Sus scrofa: one gene and its partners. The protein of the gene in region 1 interacts with the protein of each later gene in a biochemical or structural test. Links are inferred from orthologs where the notes say so. Each region holds a gene or a part of one and is shown on either strand. Other genes may lie near its edges.

Evidence for each region. The genes of interacting proteins can lie anywhere in the genome.
Region 2: the proteins of IKBKG (region 1) and SENP2 form a complex in vitro, tested with the Homo sapiens proteins (2 studies listed by BioGRID and IntAct, with this or other methods). The link is inferred for Sus scrofa from reciprocal best matches to the Homo sapiens genes IKBKG and SENP2.
Region 3: of the proteins of IKBKG (region 1) and NFKBIA, one has a biochemical effect on the other in vitro, tested with the Homo sapiens proteins (15 studies listed by BioGRID and IntAct). The link is inferred for Sus scrofa from reciprocal best matches to the Homo sapiens genes IKBKG and NFKBIA.

Annotation. Positions count from the first base shown.
Region 1 is NC_010461.5:125,042,177-125,049,255, reverse strand, and holds the start of IKBKG (NF-kappa-B essential modulator), read right to left. Parts: upstream 4,377-7,079; coding exon 4,190-4,376; intron 1,740-4,189; coding exon 1,528-1,739; intron 778-1,527; coding exon 659-777; intron 1-658. UniProt on the Homo sapiens protein: Regulatory subunit of the IKK core complex which phosphorylates inhibitors of NF-kappa-B thus leading to the dissociation of the inhibitor/NF-kappa-B complex and ultimately the degradation of the inhibitor.
Region 2 is NC_010455.5:123,427,062-123,434,101, reverse strand, and holds the start of SENP2 (sentrin-specific protease 2), read right to left. Parts: upstream 4,188-7,040; 5' UTR 3,962-4,187; coding exon 3,861-3,961; intron 3,565-3,860; exon of another isoform or gene 3,462-3,564; intron 1,456-3,461; coding exon 1,400-1,455; exon of another isoform or gene 1,308-1,399; intron 1-1,307. UniProt on the Homo sapiens protein: Protease that catalyzes two essential functions in the SUMO pathway.
Region 3 is NC_010449.5:64,505,117-64,512,305, reverse strand, and holds NFKBIA (NF-kappa-B inhibitor alpha), read right to left. Parts: upstream 4,188-7,189; coding exon 3,961-4,187; intron 3,743-3,960; exon of another isoform or gene 3,393-3,742; intron 3,387-3,392; coding exon 3,278-3,386; intron 2,927-3,277; coding exon 2,716-2,926; intron 2,427-2,715; coding exon 2,338-2,426; intron 2,220-2,337; coding exon 1,959-2,219; intron 1,600-1,958; coding exon 1,552-1,599; downstream 1-1,551. UniProt on the Homo sapiens protein: Inhibits the activity of dimeric NF-kappa-B/REL complexes by trapping REL (RELA/p65 and NFKB1/p50) dimers in the cytoplasm by masking their nuclear localization signals.

The DNA of each region.
Region 1 (7,079 bases):
GCTCGCTCTGAGGATGGCGGGGCGTCTAAACGCCGCGCTGGGAAACGCCTCGGGCCTCCGGGCGCAGCGCCCAGCGCACCGGGAGAGCTGCGGCCAGCCCTGCCGCCTGGACCCGTCTCCCTGGACGGCAGCCACCGGGCAGCGTGAGAACCACAGAGACGCCCGTGCCCTTTGACCCGGTGAGCACAGCTACAGGAAGCAGCCTCTGCAGAAGAGAGGGGCCAGCAGGGCTGGTGTGAGTCCCCTACGCTGCCAGGACACTCGCCCTCCAGATGAGGGAGGTCCCCATGCCTAGACCGTGGGCACAACACGGTGGCCTATGGGGAGCACCTGCTTTCCTCCAGGAGTCAGGAGGCTTGGCGTGTGCTGGGCCATGACCAGCCCTCCATCAAACTCAGGGCGCTGAGTCTCCAGTGGCGCCCCAGGCCTCCAGGGAGGCCCAAGTCGCCGCCAGAGAAGGGAGGAAAGGAGGAGGGGGCCAGAGGCAGGGGGTGCTCCGCCCCCGCCCTGGGCCTTCCGTCCTCGGGGGTCCTGGGCCGGGAGGGCACTGTGATCACGTGGACTCGTCCCCCCCACCCCGCAAACGGCCCCTCGGGAATCATCCAAAACTCTGGCAAAAAGTCAGCGGCCTCGGGCAGGGCTCTCCCTCCACGCTCACCTGCTCTCCAGAGCCTGCCGCTCCTTGGTGGCGGCCTCCAAGCGACTCTGGCTCTCCTGCAGCTCCCCCAGCAAGGACGTCACCTGGGCTTTCACTGAGGCCTTGTCCTCTGCCATCTGCTGCACGAGAAGAAGCCACGCCACGTCAGCACTGAGACCGGCCACCCCCGGGGCTCCTCTCCTGCCCCCGGCACCCCGACTCATCTCCCTCTCATCTCTCGAAGCTTCTCCCCCAGCAAGGCCACTGAGGATGGGGCCAGAGGAGCACAGAGCTGCCCATGCGGGCTGAGCCCAGCAGGAGTCTCCCCACCTTGCTGAGACTCAAACATGTGACAGAAACCTGCGCGCTCCCCGGGCCCCAGGCCACTAGCAGGTAAGAGGGAGTGACGCTGTTCCCACAAGTCCTGCACCTGCCCCAAAACTCAAGAGTTCTCCAACTCCCCACCGCCCAGACGCCCTCCCAAGGCTGTGCAAACCCTGGGCCCGAGACCTCAGGCTGCTCAGGCCCAGGGTCAAGCCTCAGGCCCCCACCCCTACACGCAGCGCCACCCACCCCGCCCGCCACTCATCCCCCTCCTTTTCACGCCCATCTGCGTGCACCTGAGGATGATCGGGTCGGTCTCAAGGTTTCCACTGCCCTGGACAGGCCAACGGCTTCCAAACCCTGAACCCCCACTGAGCCAGCCAACGGCCTGCCGATCGCCCTGACGCCCGTCCGCAGGCCCTGCTGGCTAAGGCGCCCACTGCCACCACCCCCGCCCGCCCTGGTCAGAGCCCCGAGGATAACGGCTTCTCTCGACTCTGTGCGGCCGCCCGAGGGTGCTCCTGGGGACCCCCGGGGGAGAGGGCAGGCGGCCGGCGCCCCGCTACCTGCTGGCAGGTCTTCAGGAGCTCCACCTCCTGCAGGGCCTGCTCCCTCTGCCTGCGCAGCTCCAGCTTCTCGAGGCTCAGCCTCTCGACCAGGCGCCTGGCCTCGCAGAACTTCTGCATGAGAAACTCCTTCTCCTCCCGCTGGCTGCCCTGGAAACGCTGCAGCTCCTCACAGCGCTCCCGCAGCATCTGGTTGCTCTGCCGGATGGCATCTGGCGGCAGAGGAGACGCAGAGGGAGGTGAGGGCGCCGGCCTCTCCCAGGCAGCGCACTTTCAAAAGCAGTGGTGCCCATCACGTGCCCATGCTTTTCCAATCAAACATTAAACACATCAGGTGCACTGAGAGCTCTGGGTCCGATGCCACCTTTTTTGTAAGTGACGCTGGAACTCGTCTATGTTCTGCTCGGGTGGGAGGCAGGCCTACCCTAGGGCACCCGGTCACTGCCTCCAGGATCAGGGGGCCGGCCACACAGGGCAAACGTCCCTGTGGCCCTGCTGCCGCAGACTGGGGGCCGGAAGCCTTGGAGCCAGCCGGCCGGTCACCGAAGCCCCACCATCCTCATCGACATGTCCCAACGGGGACGATGACACCCATCTCACGGGACAAGGAAGGTCACACAAACAAGCAGCCAAGAGCCGGCACACAAGACCAACTCGGGGACCAGTCGGTCGTCCTCTCCCCACACACCCAGCGGACACCCCAGGCGGCAGAAGGCCATCGTGAGCGACAAAACTCATCAGCGGCACGCAGAGGTTCTAGCAAGCACAGAGCCAGATGACACGGGGCAGGCAGTGGCTTCATGTCACCCTCTGGTCAAAACACGTGACCAGCTAACTGGTGCCTGCTACTGGAACATTCTTTCACTAGAACTTCAGCAAGTTATTTTCTCTCCCCTCCTTTTCTTGGCTGCACTTGCAGCATGTGGAAGTTCCCAGGCCAGGGGTTGAACCCGTGCCACAGCAGCGACCAGAGCCACAGCAGTGACAACACCAGATCCTTAACCCACCGAGCCACCAGGGAACTCCTACGGCAAATTCTGAGCCCCACTCCAAAGCCACCTTCTGGACTCCACGGTCCCCACATGACTCCTCCTGTGCAGCTGACCAACAAGCCTTGGACAAGGCCTCTTGCCGAAGGCAGATGGTCCCCCCCAACGGCCACCTGCCAAGCCTCCGTCCGAGGTTCACCTCAGCTCCCACAAAACCTCTGTTTTGGGGGTTTTTTTAAAGATCTTTTTTTGGGCCGCACTCACGGCATGTGAAGTCCCTGGGCCAGGAAGCAAACCTGCACCACAGCAGCGACCTGAGCCACTGCAGTGGCAACACTGGATCCTTAACCTGCTGCACCACAAGAAAACCCACAACTTTTGTTTTTAATTGAGGTAAAATTCACGTAACAGCAAATTCACCATTTTAACTATTTTAAAATACACAATCAGGAGTTTCCGTTGTGGCTCAGCGGAAAAGAATCTGACTAGCATCCATGAGGACGCAGGTTTGATCCCTGGCATTGGTCAGTGGGTTAAGGATCCGGCGTTGCCCATGAGCTGTGGTGTAGGTCACAGATGAGGCTCAGATCCCGCATTGCTGTGGCTGTGACGTAGGCTGGCAGCTGCAGCTCCAATTTGACCCCTAGCCTGGGAACCTCCATATGCCCCCAATGAGGCCCTAAAAAAAGACAAAAAAAATACACAGTCATTCAGTGGCTTTAATGTATTCATATAGTTGTGCACCCGCCCCTCCCTCTAGTTCCAGTGCATTCCCATCACCCCCAAAAGAAACCTCCCACCCACAAGAGTGTCACTGAATGAGAGGCTAGGGGTGCCCCCCCCGGATGCCCCAGGCTACTGCACCAAAGGGGCAGCTTGCCAGCAGCGGAGGCCCAGGGCACAAACCCGAGGAGGAGGGGGCGCTGTCCCACACGAGGGGGCCAAGAACGGGTCACACCTGAGGGGCACGGAGCCATGGCCCCTGGGACCCGAGAAGGTGACCCCGATACAGGGGAGGACGCGGAGGCTGGGTGAGTGGGGCTGGGACGGAGGCGGGGGGGTGGGGGGTGCCGAAAAGCCCTCGACCCCCCGCCCCCGGCAAGTGCTGCTGGAGCACAGCCCTCCGTCAGGTCCCCGGCGCCGCCTGGCCCCTCCTTCCCAAAGCCGCCCCCCGGCCCTTCCCAGGGAGGCCACGCCCGTTCCCAGCGCAGACCACACCCCCTTCCTGGAGCAGATCCCGCCCCCTTCCCAGGAGACCCGCGCCCCTCCCAGTAAGGCTGGTTCTGACTGACTGGTCAGTACATGAGTACGGAGACACCAGGGCCTGGCGGCGTCGGCCCAACCGGGACAACGCAGAAGGGCCATATTCCAGCTCAAGCCCCTTGCAGGGTGGGCCTCTCCCTGCACCCACCCCTGCTTCTTCGCTGCCCTGCCCTCCCCTCCCCATCTGCAGGGCTGGTCCCAGAGGACTCTGAATAAACCTCCTGCGTGCCTCCCTGGATCTCGGCGTCCACTTCCCGGAAACCCCACCTGGACCAGGGCGGGGGCGGCGGCTGGGACCAAATCACTAACCCGCCCGGGTGCACGCCGCCCCAGTCCCAGGAAGGCAGAGGTGCGGCAGGTGGGAGGCGCCGGCCCGGGATCTCGGGGCACAGGCCCGCTGCCGCCCTCACCTCGGAGCTCTTGATTCTCCTCCAGGCAGCGCTGGAAGGTCTCAGGAGCACCCTGCTCCGAAGGCAGGTGGAGCATGGTTGGCTTCCCCAGAGAGGACTCTTCACCCAGCACGTCCTGGTCCCCTGCCGGGCCGCCGCTAGGCTGCACCATCTCACACGGCTGACTCTTCCAGGGGGTCCTGCTCATCCAACAAGTCAGCGTCTGAAAGAGATGCCAGCAGAGGCATCGCGTGAGGAGACCCAGGCAGAACTCTCCTACCCTGCAGGACAGGGAGTGCCAGGGCCACGCTCGGCAGAAGGACAAGCACTTTGCCAAGTGGAAAAGGCGCTAAAAAGGGCTCTTTGGTCTACGAGTGGCTCACATTCCCCTCATGTGGGGCTCGCAAAGGTCACGGTTCAGCACCGGCCGTAAACGGCGCCTCAGGCTAGCTCCCGGCTGGACGCTGAAGCTGCCGATTTCACCACAGAGGAGAATCGACGGAGATGAGGTTGGGAGGCAGGGGTCGCTGTGCTGGAATGCCCACCCTCCCCACACCTCCAAGCAGTAAGATGGGTCCACTCCCTGGGCCCCGGAACCGGGACTGATTGGGAAAGGGGATTTGTTGGAGTTCCCATTGTGGCTCAGCTGGTTAAGAACCCAACTAGTATCCATAAGGATGCAGGTTCGATCCCTGGCCTCACACAGCGGGTTAAGGATCAGTATTGCCGTGAGCTGTGGTATAGGTCACAGACGCAGCTCAGATCCCGTGTCACTGTGGCTCTCACTCATGTGGGCTGGCAGCTGCAGCTCCAATGAGACCCCTAGCCTGGGAACTTCCATATACCTCAAGTGTAGCCCTAAAAAGCAAAAAAAAAAAAAAAAAAAAAAAAAAAAAAAGGGAAAGGGAAAAGGAAAGAAGGAAAAGGATGTAATACAAGTGAAGGATCTGAAATGAGGTCCTCCTGGATCAGGGGAGCCCTAAATCCAATGATGAGTGTCCTTCTAAGAGACACAAAAGGAGAGACAGACACAGAAGAAGCCACGTGAAGATGCAGAGACTGGAGTGATGCGGCCCCAGCCCAGAGATGCCTGGAGCCACCACAGGCTGGAAGAGGCAGGAAGGACCCTCCCCTGGCGCCCCCAGAGGGAACAGGGCCCTGCCACGCCCTGACTTCAGGCTCCTGGTTTCCAGAACGGAGAGAGGACAAATGCTGTTGTCTTAAGCCATCTGCCTTGGACTCTCTCACGGCAGCCTAGGAAATCAATGTACCTAGTGAGAAGGGCTTCACAGAGACCACTCAGAACCTGGTGGGCATTCCCTGGAGCTGAGCACCCGAAAGCGGGAGCTGGGCTTGCAGCCTAAGGTGGCAGGGCCGAGAGTCAGGCTGAGCTGTGTGCATCGTCCTGTGAACTAGAGGCGGGGGCAGGGGGGCGCTCTGCGGGACAGCACCCGCCCGGAGCCCTTTTAAATCCTGCCCAAGAAAACCGACTACATGGAGGAGGAAGCCGATCCCAAAAGAAGCTTCCAGGAGAGAGCCTGAGCTGCAGCTAGAGACGTTTAACACCAAACAAGCTGGGACGTTTCGCTGTTACACTGATACTTCTCTGAATAACCCCCTGACCCACCAGCACTATCTGACCAACCGCTGAGCCCTGAGTCCAGAACAGCCACCACTTCACTGGCTGCTCCTGCTCTGGCTCTTTCCGTGGACCATCCTCGCCACACTTTTCATGCTGTGATGCTCCGGGGCTCCTTTCTGGGATCTCATCTTTTCTCTAACTACAGCTACTCCAGCGCTAATTCCATCCAGACTCCCAGCTTTAACCCCCATGCATCAAACTCAGCATCTCAGGCTGGACATCTAATCCTCCTCTCAAAACTCACCTCTCCAGAACTGCACTGCTCACAGTCCCCAGAAGCCGGCTCCACCCACAGCCTCCCTTATTATTAGGTGACAGCACGTCCACCCTCCGGTCAGCAGGACACAACCTGGGAGTCCTTCTTGAGTCCTCTCTGGCCCTCAGGGCTCACGTCTAATCCATTGGGAAATCCCGTCAAAAGGTATCTTAGAATCTATTTGAGGACACTAAGCAATTAATGTTAACTTATTTTAGGTGTGATACTTGGTACTGTGGTTGTTTCTTTCAAAGTCCATTCTTAGAGATGCATCCTGAAACATTTACAGCGAAATTATAAGGTGCCTGGAATTTGGTTCAAGGTAATGGGGGACCTGCTCGGTATGTACCTGAGAAAAATGAAAACACAGGTCCACGTGAGACTGCTCTTAGCGGCCAAAGGGTGGAAATGACCTACATGTCCATCGACTGATGAATAAACACAATCTAGTACATTCCTACCCTACCATGTTAATAATATTGAGCAGGAGTGGCGCAGTGGTTAACGAATCCGACTAGGAACCATGAGGTTGCGGGTTCGATCCCTGCCCTTGCTCAGTGGGTTAACGATCCGGCGTTGCCCTGAGCTGTGGTGTAGGTTGCAGACACGGCTCAGATCCCACATTGCTGTGGCTCTGGTGTAGGCCGGCGGCTACAGCTCTGATTGGACCCCTAGCCTGGGAACCTCCATATGCCCGGGAGCGGTCCAAGAAATGGCAAAAAGACAAAAAAAAAAAAAAAAAAAAAAAAAAAAAAAAAAACACTGAGCAACACAGAGAAACAGCTCACAAGAAACCACATATTATGAGTCCATTTATGTGAACTATCCAGAATAGGCAAACATAGAGAGATGGAAAGACTAATAGATGCTTAGAACTGAAGTAGATAAGGTGATGGGTTGATGAAAATGTTCGAGAATGAATGGTGATGGTTGTGCAGGTGTGTGAATATACTGAAAAGCAGTGAATTGTTCACTTTCAATGGGTGAATTGTGTGGTATGTGAATTATATGTC
Region 2 (7,040 bases), on another chromosome or scaffold:
TATTCATTATTTCCTGAATTGCAAAACTTTTTACTGTCCCCTCTGCCTACTGTCCTTCCTATTGCTCTGTCAATACCCTATCCATCCTTGGACTCACCTCACATATTAGCTCCTTCATCAAATATTTACTGAGACTCTTAGAGCTGAAAATCGGACAGTATTATGTTATTACTTTTCTTATTTCATTTATCATGTAATCATTGACATTAGTATAATTTATGTACTGTCTTAAACCCCCCACTAAATAATCATATACTCCTGCAGTTGTAATGTCCTTAAAAATAAAGAACCTGTTGTATTCATTTCTGTATTTCCTGTAGAACCTAACACATTGTTTAACAGTAAGATAGGCTCAATAAGCACTCCTGAATTTACATTAAATCTTAACACAGACATATCCACTCTTTACTACATCTGGAGATAGATTCAAATTCACATTCATTTTTGAGAAGAAGGAAAACACTATTATAGTATTTAATAGTGCCTTTTCCCTTTAATCTAGTTTTATTCTCTTCTACCAGTGATGTCTAGACCTTCAGATACAGAGAAGTAAACAATCTGAGGTAACTCATTATACTGGATCACTTAGCTATCTGAACTAGATGACTCCAGTTTGAAATAGTTTTTACAATGTTTTCTCTTCAAATAAAAAGCACCTTTTGGGAGTTCTGATGGCCTAGTGGGTTAAGCCTCCTGTGTTTTCACCGCTGACGCTCTGGTCACTACTGTGTGGCACAGGTTCGATCCCTGACCCAGGAACATCCACGTGCTGCCGGTGTGGCAAAAAAATTTTTAAATGCTTAAAAAGAGAGAGAGAGAACCTGAAATAAATATTCCAACTCTCATTTTAAAAGTAAAAAATTAAGAAATAGGAGTTCCTGTCGTGGTGCAGCGGGAACGAATCCCCGACTAGGAACCATGAAGTTTCGGGTTCGATCCCTGGCCTTGCTCAGTAGGTTAAGGATCTGGTGTTGCCATGAGCTGTGGTGTAGGTCGCAGTCGCGGCTCGGATCTGGTGTTGCTGTGGCTCCGGCGTAAGCCAGCAGCAACAGCTCTGATTAGATTCCTAGCCTGGGAACCTTCATATGCCACAGGTGTGGCCCTAAAAAGACAAAAAGACAAAAATAATAATAATAATAAATTTTAAAAATAAATAAAAAGCACCTTTTCTTTATAGGAAGATTAGGAATTTTGAAATGCAATTTCAACATACAGACTTATTTATCTAGAAAGATATTTAAGTCTCTGGTAACACTGTTTACCTCTAAAAAAGATAACAATGGAAAAGGGACAGGAAAAAGACTTACTTTTCACTGTATATACTTTTTATCTTTTGAATTTTGTCCATACATATATTTTTCCTATTGAAAAAGCTATTTTTTTAATTAATATTTAATACCTAATCTTGGTCTTTTGGCTGGTACTTCATCAGTGTCCACTGTAGAAAAGAGACTGCTGAAAAAAGAGAAGAGAGACATAATATATATGCATATATGTTCATATACACACATTTCCATTTCTATAAGTAAGCTTACTATTCAAACACACCCTCTTCCATTCACTCTGTCATAAAATGAGATCTAACTGATGTTTATGCTATAGTAGGTCTTCAGCTTTTGAGGATGTGGAGATCTAAAATTCCCTATTATATAATCATGTGTAGTCTGGCTAGACTACAAACATGAAACTGGCCAGAAATCTTTACTAGTAAACGAATATAGGTAAAAGCTTAGGACCAGTTATTCCCTTTCTCTCCAAAAATGATTTAAGAATAATTTCCTTCTGAAAGATGACAGCTTCCCCAGAAGAAAATCATTTTTTACTTCAGATAGAAGTAGACAATTTAAGAATTGTCTACTTAAAAGACAGTTCTGGTGTTCCCATCGTGGCTCAGTGATTAACGAATTCAACTGGGAACCATGAGGTTGTGGGTTCAATCCCTGGCCTTGCTCAGGGGGTTAAGGATTCAGCGTTGCTGTGAGCTGTGGTGTAGGCCGGCAGCTACAGCTCCGATTAGACCCCTAGCCTGGGAACCTCCATATGCTGTGAGTGCAGCCCTAGAAAAGACAAAAAAAAAAGACAGTTCTTAGCCAGAAAAGGGTGTTATATTTAACTGTGTTTTTATCATGGAAACTATATTACAGTGATAAAGAATTTGGAAATTCAGAAAAGTTTTGGACCTATATCTCAAAAATTTGTAAATTCAGAAAAGTTTTTGGACCTATATCTCAAGGTTAAAGCTTCACAGTTAACCATCTTTCTTTTCATTTCTTTTTTTTTTTTTTTTTTTTTTGGCTTTTTAGGGCTGCACTTACGGCATACAGAACTTCCCAGACTAGGGGTCCAATTGGAGCTATAGCTGCCGGCCTACGCCACAGTTCATGGCAATGCCAGATCCTTAACCCACTGAGCGAAGCCAGGGATCGAACCTGCAACCTCATGGTTCCTAGTCGGATTCATTTCCACTGAGCCATGACAGCAACTCCTATAATCATCTTTCTAAAGATGATTAGGAATGATCCTATTTACAAAAGAAAAAACAGAATAAATCTCAGGAGAATACCATTTGGTTCATAACTTTCAACATCCCACGAAGACTTTTTGGCTTCATTTGGACTGAAAAATGGCTTACAATGAAGAGTTTATATCAATTAAGGATGTATAATAAAGAACAGGATTTTGATCTACAAGCCAGTTTCCCTGACCAGCAGAGATTTGCATTAAAAATAAAGGACGAGGGAGAGGGAATTAACATTCCCTTATTCAATAAATATATACAAGTGCCTGTCATGCTCCGGCCTCTGCACAAGGCCCTTGGAGTAGAATAAACAAACACTACCCTTATATGCATTAAGCATCATTTTAGGCACAACTTGTATTCAAATGATCCTTGTATTAACTCCACAGAAAATTATAAAAAACACAATGAAATCTTGCCCTCTCTAGAACATAGGATGGAATTTAGCCCAAAGCCAATTTCATCATGAGCAGCATTCTTAGATTCATGTATTAATTAATCATCTTTGTCTCAAGCTCCAAGAAACCAACCTTCAATCTTGAGGCTTAATAAAAAATTAAATTAATACCTGACCACTAAAAGTTGGGTGTGGGTATGTACAGACTTAGTATGGTATTTTATTCTCTCGATTAATTCTTAGGGAAGGGGGTGGACACAATGAAATGGGACAAACCAACAGGTAAATGCAAAGAACAACTTTTAGTTTCTCCAAAATTTTAACAGAATTTTAGAGTACAGACTAGTGATCTTTTTAAAGTAATCAGATATCTATTTTTTTTTCTCATACACTAATTCTAAAGCACAGAATCACTCTCCCTCCTCCCGACAACACACACACACACACAGTTTGACAGCTGTTTTAGAACAAGACAGCTGCTGTCTCTTGTTGCTAAGAGAACAGTACGTGTGGTCAAAAGGACTTTGGGCAAGCTATGATTCTCACCTCCCTTAACTGCGCTTATTGCGCACAGATGACACCTGGGGGTGTGCTTTGCAAACAGTGAGCCACAACAAAGACAGTTTTCCTTCAATTTTCAGTATTCAACCTAAGAGCAGCAAAATATGACAAAGCTCTATTTGTTAACAGCAACCAGCTTGGGCTCTGATGAGAAAGATCCTAACCATCAACTACTGGCTCCTTCCATCATCAGGAGCCGCATCCACACAGCGGGGAGGAGCGACTACGTCACCAGGACGCCCGCGATCCGCACCTCGACCACCTCCGCCCAGCTACCTGTTTCTGCCAAGCGGGGCCTGCCTGGTTGGGTCAGCGCTAGGCTAGCCGAGCCCCGGGTGGGGGAGGGGGAGTGCCAGGCCGGCGTTCGGCCCCCTCTCCTCTCACCTGTTCGAGCGCCGCCTCTTCAGGAGAGCCCGGGAAGAGGGCACCGGCCGGTCACAAAAACGGAAAATGGTGCCGAGAATCCTAACCAGCCATTTGTACATACCAGGCCCAAGCAGCAGCGGCGGCCGACACACCCCGAGACGCAAACCCCAGAGCTGTCGCCGCCGCTGCCGCCTTCTCCGCCTCGGCCACCACCGCCAAGGCTCAGTCGCCGAGTTGTGACGCGGTCCTAGGGCCCACAGATACAACGTCCCTTGAGCTACAGGAGGCCCCCGCTAGCCACCGCTCCTGACGTCACCTCCTCCCGCCCGACCGGAAAGCATCCTCATTCTCAGTTTGCGCACGCGCAACCTAGGTCCCCACCTCCTGAGCCTAGCAACCAGAATGCCTGCGGGAAGGTTCCAGTCCAATCGCTGACGAGATCGCAAGGGATGTGGGCGGGGTATTCTCTTCGGCGGAGCCAATCCTGAGACTGCCCGAGGGACAAGCCCACCGGCCGCACAAGAGCGTTCTCTACCCTGGAGTGAGCGCTCCAGGGGCCTGCAATACTGCAGGTGATCATTAAATGTTTGTTGAATGCACAAAATAAAGGTTAGTCAGGCTAATTAACAAACGTTCACCCTGCTAGGATCCCTTTACTTTGCACATACTTTATGCCTGGTATTTTTACACGCAGTCAACTTCATTTCTCTCAGCAACCTCAGGAGATGCAGAACCTTGTGCCCACTTTTAATCAGTAAGGAAATCGAGGGATAGAGCGATTAAGTAATTGCCTACGGTCACAAAACTAGCTAGTACCACGGATGGAATTTGAACCAGGGTCTGTGTACCAACACCAGTCTCTTGCCCTTGAGATCAGTCTACTGGGAGATATGATTACAAATTACACCTCAAGACAATTGGTTGTAAGTAAACTGCACTTAAGTTAAATTTTTAAAAAGATGATTGGGAGGTCCCTTGTGGTACAGAGGGTTAAGAATCAGGTGTCATCATTGCAATTTCTAGAGTCCCTGCAGTGGCACAGGTTGGATCCCTTGCTAGAGAACTTCCCTAAGTCCTGGGCGTGGCCAAAAAACGAAAAAGAAAAAAAAAGGCTGTTGTGATAAAGGTGGGTACAGAGTGCAGTAGGAGCCAAAGAAAGGAAAACTGGATGGGAAAAGGACGGGAAGGGCAGAACTCAAAAAAGTCTTCACAGACACTTAAGAATGGAAGGCTCCCTGTGGCCTACTAGTAGTACCTACTAATACCCCCTGAGCTGCCAAGAAGTCCTGCTAACTACTCTCCCTCTCTTGTCTAGAGGTTCCCAGTAACGATCAACAATAGAAAAATAACCACCCTTCTTATTACTGGAAAATCCAGTCCCCTACCTAACACTCCTGGGAATATGCAAAGGTTTTCTTGCCCACGAATCCATCCCTGGAAATACTTGATCTTTAATCTGTGATTCAGTTAAGGTTGGACTTCCAGACTTGCTTGAACTTCAACAGAGACACTCCCTAGTACAGTCTCATCCTTGTTCAATAAATATTTTTCTGCAGCAAGCCACCTCCTAGAGCCACAGAACCACCAGCTACCCACCTGTGGCTACCCACCACTCTGGCCTGGGCTGGGGATAGGAGCAGTTCCTGGAGGGTAGAAGCAAATCCTAAATGTGGGCATGGGCTCCTCCCTCAATTCCCTAAAATATAGCTAATACCAGGCCATTACAGATAGTCTGGGAATAACAGGAGAATTACAAAGCTGAGAAAGTTTAGAAGTGGCTATTACAAATACAGCATCTAGGGAGTTCCCATCATGGCTCAGCAGAAACAAATGTGACTAGTATCCATGAGGACACAAGTTCAATCTCTGGCCCCGCTCAGTGGGTTAAGGATCCGGCGTTGCCACGAACTGTGGTGTAGGTCACAGACGCAGTTCGGATCTGGTGTTGCTGTGGCTGTGGCCTAGGCCGGCAGCTACAGCCCCGACTGGACCCCTTGCCTAAGAACCTCCACAAGCCGTGAGTACAGCCTTAAAGAGACAAAAAAAGAAGAAGAAGAAGAAGATGATGAAGAAGGCTACCAGCAGGGCAGTTCAGCTGTGTCCCAAAAGTCCCTTCTACTATAAAAGCTGGTCTTTGCTTTTGTCAAACCAAGAACACTTAAGTATCAGGAAGGAATTCTCCAAAACAAAGGAGTGGCCTTCATTCGAAACATAAACCAGAACACTCCGAGGTTGCTTTAGAATAGCACTTTCTCCCAGGTCCTGGCCACTAAGATTTAAGAAACATTGGCATCATGTTACAGAGAAGTCTAGTACAACATCACAACGTATTTTTTTTTCTGCCTCATTGGAGCAAGTACCCAATACTGGAATGTCGGTCACCCGCCAAGAAAAGTCGGAGGGCTTTGGAATTACAGACCTCAGTCCATATCTCTGGACCTCATCAACAAACAATAACTATGCCAGCCCTTCCATGAGCACAACCCCCCACCCCCACCACTTTGTGTCCTCTTAGTGTCTCTAGTCACCCTCTGAAGTGGAGAAAGAAAGGGGATTCAGCCTTACAGTCGCTTCCGCTTGGGTCTTGTCTGCCAGTTGGTGCCTTCGATGTCCTGTCGTCCACAGTAGAGGTAAGGACCACTGTCCATCCACTGACCAAGGAGTGGGATTATCCTTACTCCCAAATCCACCCCTTCTGCAGCCATTCCCAGACCCAGGAACTCTTCACCGGAGGCCCAGAGGAGAACTCCAAAATCACAGGGAGTTACAAGGATGTTGAGGTTTCTGCTCTTGGTTTGAATAACTTGCACCCGTGCACCGGCAGAGGAGCACAACCTCATGGCTTAAGTTTTTGTAGGGTATTTCACCCGATTGCCCTAGTTTTCCAAAAAGATCCCCTTCCTCCGGTGGAGATCCTCTCCTTCAGGCCTTATCAGCGCCCCTCCCCCATCTTTCTCAAAACCTACCTCCTCTCCACAGAACAATGAAAACCCAGCCCTCCAATCCGTTCTTTAGTCTTGCAGATTTTCCCTTTGCCTGCATTCTTGGAGTGCTGAAAGATTTCCTCTCAGCTTTGTTTTTGCTGACCCCTGTTGGAAGGGAGATCTGGGCCTTTTGATGGGAGGGGGTAGGGGCCCATAGAGGAGATGTTGGCTTGGGCCTAATGTACCTAAAATCTAACAAGGCTCACCACTTTGA
Region 3 (7,189 bases), on another chromosome or scaffold:
ATAGTAATGTTTTCCTAGGTGTGAGCCGGAGAACATGAGGTGTATTGATACACCATTCTGTACTTTATAGAGCGCCAAAAACTTTCCTTTACTCCTCTATCTAGGCAAGAGATGTATTTTACAGATAAAAACTTTGAAAGCATCTACACCCAAACTTCACAAGTTTCCGATTTCTTGTGAAATCACTTGCTTCTCTAGAATCATTCAGTAGCATTAGATAGGGCTGATGAAAAGGCTCTTCCAGTCTTTATAATCAATTTGGTACTGCCACTAGGAACAAAACAGGCTGCTTTGCAGGTGGATGGCATTTCAAAAATGTTAGCCACCTGAAGGCAAGCGTGTATTCGCTAAGCTAACCACCTGCCTGTCCTGCAAGGTGATCCTGACCAGGACATTCTTTCTGGTCTTGTTCCTTCCCGTGTGAAATACAGGATGTTGTGCAACAGTTTGCATTTTTCTTTAGCACTCTGTGCCTGGCACTCTGCTGTGCTTGTTACGTGGATTGTCTTGTACAATTTACCAATGGCCGAGTTTTATCATCAGGGAAACAAAGGTGCAGAGGTGGGCACCTGCTAACACATTAGTGGGGGGTCCTGTTCCCCAGCCCATGTCCTCAGGAACTTCTAGTATCAAAATATGAGTACAACTAACTCCTCTTGGCTAAAGCTTCCTAAAGCAGAAGTAAGGTCCTGGCTGAATTTAAACCAGGAAGATGAAAGCAAGCGACAATGAAGAGCCTTCCAGCTGTAGGCCAACCAACTTGCTGCCACCCCAAGCCTGAAACTGGTGTTTCCTATCACCTTGCAACAGCCTCCCCTCCCACGCACTGGGCCTGGGGCTGCCTGCAAAGCCTGGCCGGGAGGCTGGTGTAGACGGTGTGAGAAGCTGTTCTCTGAAAGAGTTCCGTGGTTGGCTGTGGTAAATGCTCCCACACAATTCTCCACCTCCACCTCCACTTGGGGTTCGAATGACTCTCAGTGTAGGAGTCCCACAGCTGCCCGAAGAAGACAGTGATCAGAATTCTGTTTGTAAAAATCCATTTAATAAATATACATCTTAGAAGTACCAAAATAATTACCAACAAAATACATTATGTACAGTATTTACAGCAGGGTAACACAAACCTTGACAGGTCGTGACTTTTAACCCCACCCCACTGACAGGTTTAACAACACACCTGATTCTAACATTTCCCAGATACACCTGGGCTCCACCACTGACTCCATGGTGGTTCAACCAAGAAGCGCAATAAATAAAAGAGTCCCATCAAATTAGGGATAACCTTTCCCCCAGGCCCCACCAAGGTGCCGTTTAAAAGAGGTTCTCTCTGCATTCCGATGATCCTCCTTGGCGCCTTTCCAAAGTTCACAAGAATAACAAAATCGGGGCTAATCCACCAGAGCAAAATGTTTCAGGCCAGGCAGTGTGCGGTGTGGTTATAAGTATACCCTTTTTTCTTTTTTTTTCTTTTTTTCTTTTTTTTTAGAAAAATAAAACTCTTGATTTTGTACAAATGTACAAGTCCATGGTCTTTTAGACACTTTCCAAAGCTCATAACGTCAGGCGCTGGCCTCCAAGCACGCAGTCGTCATAGGGCAGCTAAAAGGGGAAAGAAAGGCATGTTAAACTTCCAGAACTTTGCCAAAGGTGCTGGGGTGATGGCAAGGGCTGCTACTGGAAATAACGCAAGTATTCTTGGACTCCGTTCCCTCTAACCCGAATCTGAATTAACTTCCTGGGCTGAAGTTTTCCTTTAAGGATCCTCTCCTTCAAAAAGAGCAAAAAAGCAAAAGAAAACCCCAGACCATAATCCTCCCCCTAAACCTACTCTTAGGACACTGCTTATGCTCCCTAATTTGAGATCCTCATTATGTTGAGACCCTCAGGAAAAGGAGGAGCTCTAGGGGTCCGAGAGCATTGCTTTTTGCAGACCCGTGAACAAGGTCATTGGGACTCACCTCATCCTCTGTGAACTCTGACTCCGTGTCATAGCTCTCCTCATCCTCGCTCTCTGGAAGCATCTGGAGGTTTTCTAGGGTCAGCTGGCCCAGCTGCTGCTGTATCCGAGTGCTTGGGCGGCCCCAGGTGAGCTGGTACGGGGAGTAGCCCTGGTAGGTGACTCTGTTGACATCAGCCCCACACTTCAACAAGAGCGACACCAGGTCGGGATTCTGCAGGTCCACCGCAAGATGCAGGGCGGTTCGGCCATTGCAGGGCTCCTGAAACCAAAAGGAATTTGAGATGCTTATGGCTGAGTCTGAGGTTTCTGCTAGCAGCAAGAGCATGTGATCTTATTGAGGGCTGAATGCCCTCCATCTGTAGGCTTGAAGCACCCACCTGAGCGTTGACATCAGCACCCAAAGACACCAACAGCTCCACAATGCCCAGGTAGCCATGGATCGAGGCTAAGTGCAGACATGTGTGGCCTAGAGTACCAAAAGTAACAAAATATAAGCACTTGTTGCCACCCTCACTTCTCAGAACTTTCACCTATTCTTTTAAGGGAGGAGGTCTTCTGAATTTGAAGAACCCAGACTCTGGGTTCTGAATGGACTTTAGTAAGGCATCAAATGCATACATGTTTTACTAAGACCTTGATGCATACATGTTTTCTCAGCCTTTCACGTGTTGAGAGTTTACACCTTGCCTTAAGTCGGCCCACCTCTCCCTTGTCTGTGTCACGTGCCCTCTGATGCATAGGGCAGCCAGACTTACCATTGTAGTTGGTGGCCTGCAGAATGGAGTGGAGGTGCTGGGTCCCGCGGGGCTGAGTCAGGACTCCCACACTGGCCAGGCAGCCCTGCTCACAGGCAAGGTGTAGAGGGGTATTTCCTCGAAAGTCTCGGAGCTCAGGATCACAGCCAGCTTCCAGAAGTGCCTCAGCGATTTCTGGCTGGTTGGTGATCACCGCCAAGTGGAGTGGAGTCTACCAACAGAAGAGGGACAGAAAGGATAAGCCATGGATCAAACCCACAATCCATGTTCCCCTTGAACCCTAGAGATATCCTGGTTGTGCGTGCCGCTCCTCCCAGACAGATACAAGGGGTTAAGGAAACAGACGGGAGACCCCAGGTGGGCTTCATAAAAGCCTCACCAAATCAATGGGATTTTTCCTTCCTCTCTAGGATGTTGGCTGATTCAGATGTAAAAGCTCAGGGCGGATCATGACTAGGGGCAGTTAATTGGGAAATCATTGGAAATAACTGTGCTAGATCCAGCTCCATCAAGGGGTCAGAGAGGCAGAACCCAAGAGGCACGGGGCGGGCAAGCAGCGCACCTGCTGCAGGTTGTTCTGGAAGTTAAGAAAAGCCAGATCTCCCTTCACTTGGCGGACCACTTCCATGGTCAGTGCCTTCTCTTCATGGATGATGGCCAAGTGCAGGAACCTGAGGGGAAGAGAGGGAAAACCCCCAGGGCTGGTGAGTGCACTGCGTGGGGCCCAGGGAGGCACAGCCCGCAGGGGATTGCGCAAGCCCGGGGTTTCTGGAGGCCGAGGCCGCGGTGTTTTCCGCGAGGTTATTATGAGCTGAGTGTTCCTGGCAGGCACCCAGGGACTTTCCGCCCCCCCCCCCTCCCCAGGCGGCGGGCGCCGGCCAGACCGCCCCGCCCTCCCGCCGGGCCGGAACGCCCTGTACTTCCCCTCCCGCCCGCCAGCGGGGCAGAAACTCCCGCCCCCCCTTATGCAAGCGGGGACTTCGCGTCCCCGTGGCCGCCCCGCCCCCGGCCGAGGGGACCCGCAAAGGTGGGTGAGGGGTGGGAGGTGTGCACGGCTGCAAGGTAGAGCCGCGGGACCACGGCCCCAATCCCCGATCCCCGGCTCCCACGCGCAACCGTGCACCTTTGCACAGCCTCGGGGTCCGTGCACGAACCCCGATTCGCGGCCGCAGCGCGGGCCCCGCACCTCCGGCTGCAGGCCCAGCGCCCCCACCCGGCCCCGCCACCCGGGCCCGCGACACTTACGAGTCTCCGTCCTCGGTGAGCTGCTGCTTCCAGGGCTCGGCGCCGCGGGGCGCCTCCTGCGGCTCGAGGCGGATCTCGCGCAGCTCCTTCACCATCTGCTCGTACTCCTCGTCCTTCATGGAGTCCAGGCCGCTGTCGTGGCGGTCATCCAGTAGCCGCTCCTTCTTGAGCGCGTCCCGGGGCCCCTCCATGGCCCACTCCTGGCCGGGCTCTGCGGGCTGGAACATGGCGCGATGAGGGCTTGGGCGCTGCTCCCTAGGTGCGCGGGCCACAGGCTGCGCGGCGCGCTGGCTGCTCGCGGTGGCTCGGGCGGGCGGGACGATGGCCTCGGACTGTTGTGGGCTCGGCAGCGCCGCCGCGGCGCCCTATAAACGCTGGCAGGGGATTTCTCCTGGGCGGGGTCAAGCTCGGGGAATTTCCAAGCCAGTCAGACCAGAAAAGAGAACTGGCCTCGTCCTCTGCTGGGGGAAAAAGAAGCCTAAACCCCGCGCCCGGGTTCATCAGAGAAACTCCCTGCGATGAGCCACTGGGGTCATGTACAGGGAACTTTTTAATGCACGCTGAGTGGCTGGAAAGTCCTCCCGACCCGGCCCCCTCCCCCGGTACTTCCCTGCAGCCTGCAGTCAGTAATCCTGGCCCTCTGCATGGAACCTTATTTTCCCTGGGGTTTCCCACGATCGATTTGATTTGGGGTCGTCGGCTGCTAAGATCCCAAGGATGGAGAACTGCTGGTTTGCTGACCTGCCGATGCTTTCCTTTTTTTTTTTTTTTTTTTTTTTTAATCTCTTGAAAATGGGAGTGGAAATGTTGGCTGGATCTAGGGATTCACTTCCCTAAACTCCTGGGGAAGGACACACTGAGGGTGGAAGGTCGCCGGCTGCCTCTGCGTTCCTACCAAAGACCAGGCTCCTGGCAGTGCAGGGACATAAACCTCCCCCTCCCTCAAGCCCCCCTCAGGTAGAAGTCGTGAAAGCTTTAGCATTAACAGCGTAAATGCTTAGAGAACCCTCAAATCATTTCCTCGGTATGAACAGTCCTGTTGACTGGGGGAGGAGCAAGCACTCTGCCCTGGATGCTGGAAAATGCTGGATATGACTGGGCTATTTTTCAGGGAAAGCAAGGTGTTAATTTTTATAGCAAAGGTTGTAGATACTTTGCAGTGACAAAATAATTACTGAGGTCGTGTTCCTCCATTTGCACTGTGCTGCTGCAGAGAACCTACTTGTGGGGGCCGCTTTCTAGAAGCATTTGGAGAAGGTGGCTAAAGAATGGGTTGAGTAGTATTTTACCCAAGATTGGGCCTTAAAGATGGCTAAGAAAGTAGTTGCCAGGCATACTGCAGGAGGCTCAGGGCAGCCCCAAGGTGGCCTTCATCCTGCCCCTGCTGGCTTCTTGGGGGACAAAGGAGGGGGCAGCAGTTGGACCTGTCCATGCCATATGGGTAGCTACTCCAGGTTCACCATGTCCAGGTCTCAGCTGCAGAAACAGAAGTATGCTCTCTGCCCCATCCCCACCTCCTAGCCAATGAAAGGAATGCATTCATCTACTTCTAGAAATGGTCCAGGCCCTAATAAAGCAACTTGGATCAGACTTTTTCAGAAGGCACCCCAGGAAGCTTTTATAGTTTTGCAGAGATTTCTCGTGATTGTTGCAATCATCTTCAACTTGACTGGCCATGCACCAACCAATCCTTTTCCTCTCCTCATCTCCCCCTCCCCAATACCCCCACCTCTGATATCTGAATGTAGGGATGACAGACAGAATATGAGGGACAAAATAAAATCAAGAAAGAAATCTTTGGGGTAGTAACGATCACATAATAAAATGAAAACTGTCCAGGGAGAGACTCTGTATGTCTTTGTAGGCATTTGATAGACAAATACATCATTATTAGGCAAGGTGGCATGTGACGCTAAGTAGGAGATCTCACTTCCCAGCTCCACCCTTAATGAGCTGCACATTAGTTGAATGAATTAGCTACCTTTGCTATGGGGTACCTTCTTTTATAATAACAAGGTTGGATTTAATGATATTTAGATTTTTTTCCAGATTAAAAATGGTATTACTTGGAGTTCCTGTCGTGGCTCAGAGTAAACGAGTCTGACTAGCATCCTTGAGGAGGCAGGTTTGATCCCTGGCTTTAATCAAGGGGGCTAAGGATCTGGCGTTGCTATGAGCTGTGGTATAGGTCACAGATGCCGCTTGGATCTGGTGTTTCTGTGGCTGTGGCATAAGCTGACGGCCACACCTCCTGGGAACCTCCTTATGCTATGGGTGCAGCCCTAGAAAAAAGACCCCCCCCAAATGGTATTAATTGACCATGAATACTTGTATAACTTTGCTTAAGGGTGACCATGTCTCTTGGAAATATCATAGGATAAATTTTTAGAAAGACTCCAGTACTTTCTGCAACACATTCTGTTCTCAGAACTCATCTTGCAAGGAACAGTTCTGACTTTCCTAAAAAGAAACTGAAATGCAGAGAAATTTACCTAGGCATCCCAGAGCAGTTCATCTCATTTCTATCCCAGCATATTAATCATTTAGCCAAAGAGGTCATGGTATTAATATTTTTGAAAACACTTTGTGAAAGTGCGACTGAATACACTCTGATTTGGAAGATAATGCAAACTATTCCAATTGTTGGATAAAATAGAATATCTGGGGATACTCCCATCTGTTAAAAAAAAATAAACTATACACACACACACACACACACACCACACACAGAAATATCAAACTCTAAGTGCCCCCACTTACAAATACCTTAGAAGAGGATTATTAGCTGCAGGTTTAAAAATGATCATTGAACAAATAATCATGCAGAAGTCAAAAGTATCTCAGGAATGTGTCTTTGCTCCTCCTGTGACAGCTTTCTGTTGCTGCAGGCCTTGGGGAACTGGTGATCTTTATTCCTGATTGTTTAGTGTGACACCTAGTGGTAAGAGTCAAGATTTGTCATGGTGCTTTGGAAATCTGGGGAGGTGCTGAGCCTGGATGACGGGTCCCTATGGTGGGGATTCCCAAGGAGGTACCTTTTGTTTTTCTGCAGCCTGGGAGACAGTTTTGAGTAATGTGCTCCAATAGGTTTTCTCTCTATCATATGCTCTGTATGGTTTGAATCAACAAACATGACGACTTTGGAGATGGAGAACATGCTTGGAAATCAGAAAGCACGAACAGATGGAGCAGAGGAAGACAGAAAAACTGATTTGGGGTTTAAAAAGAT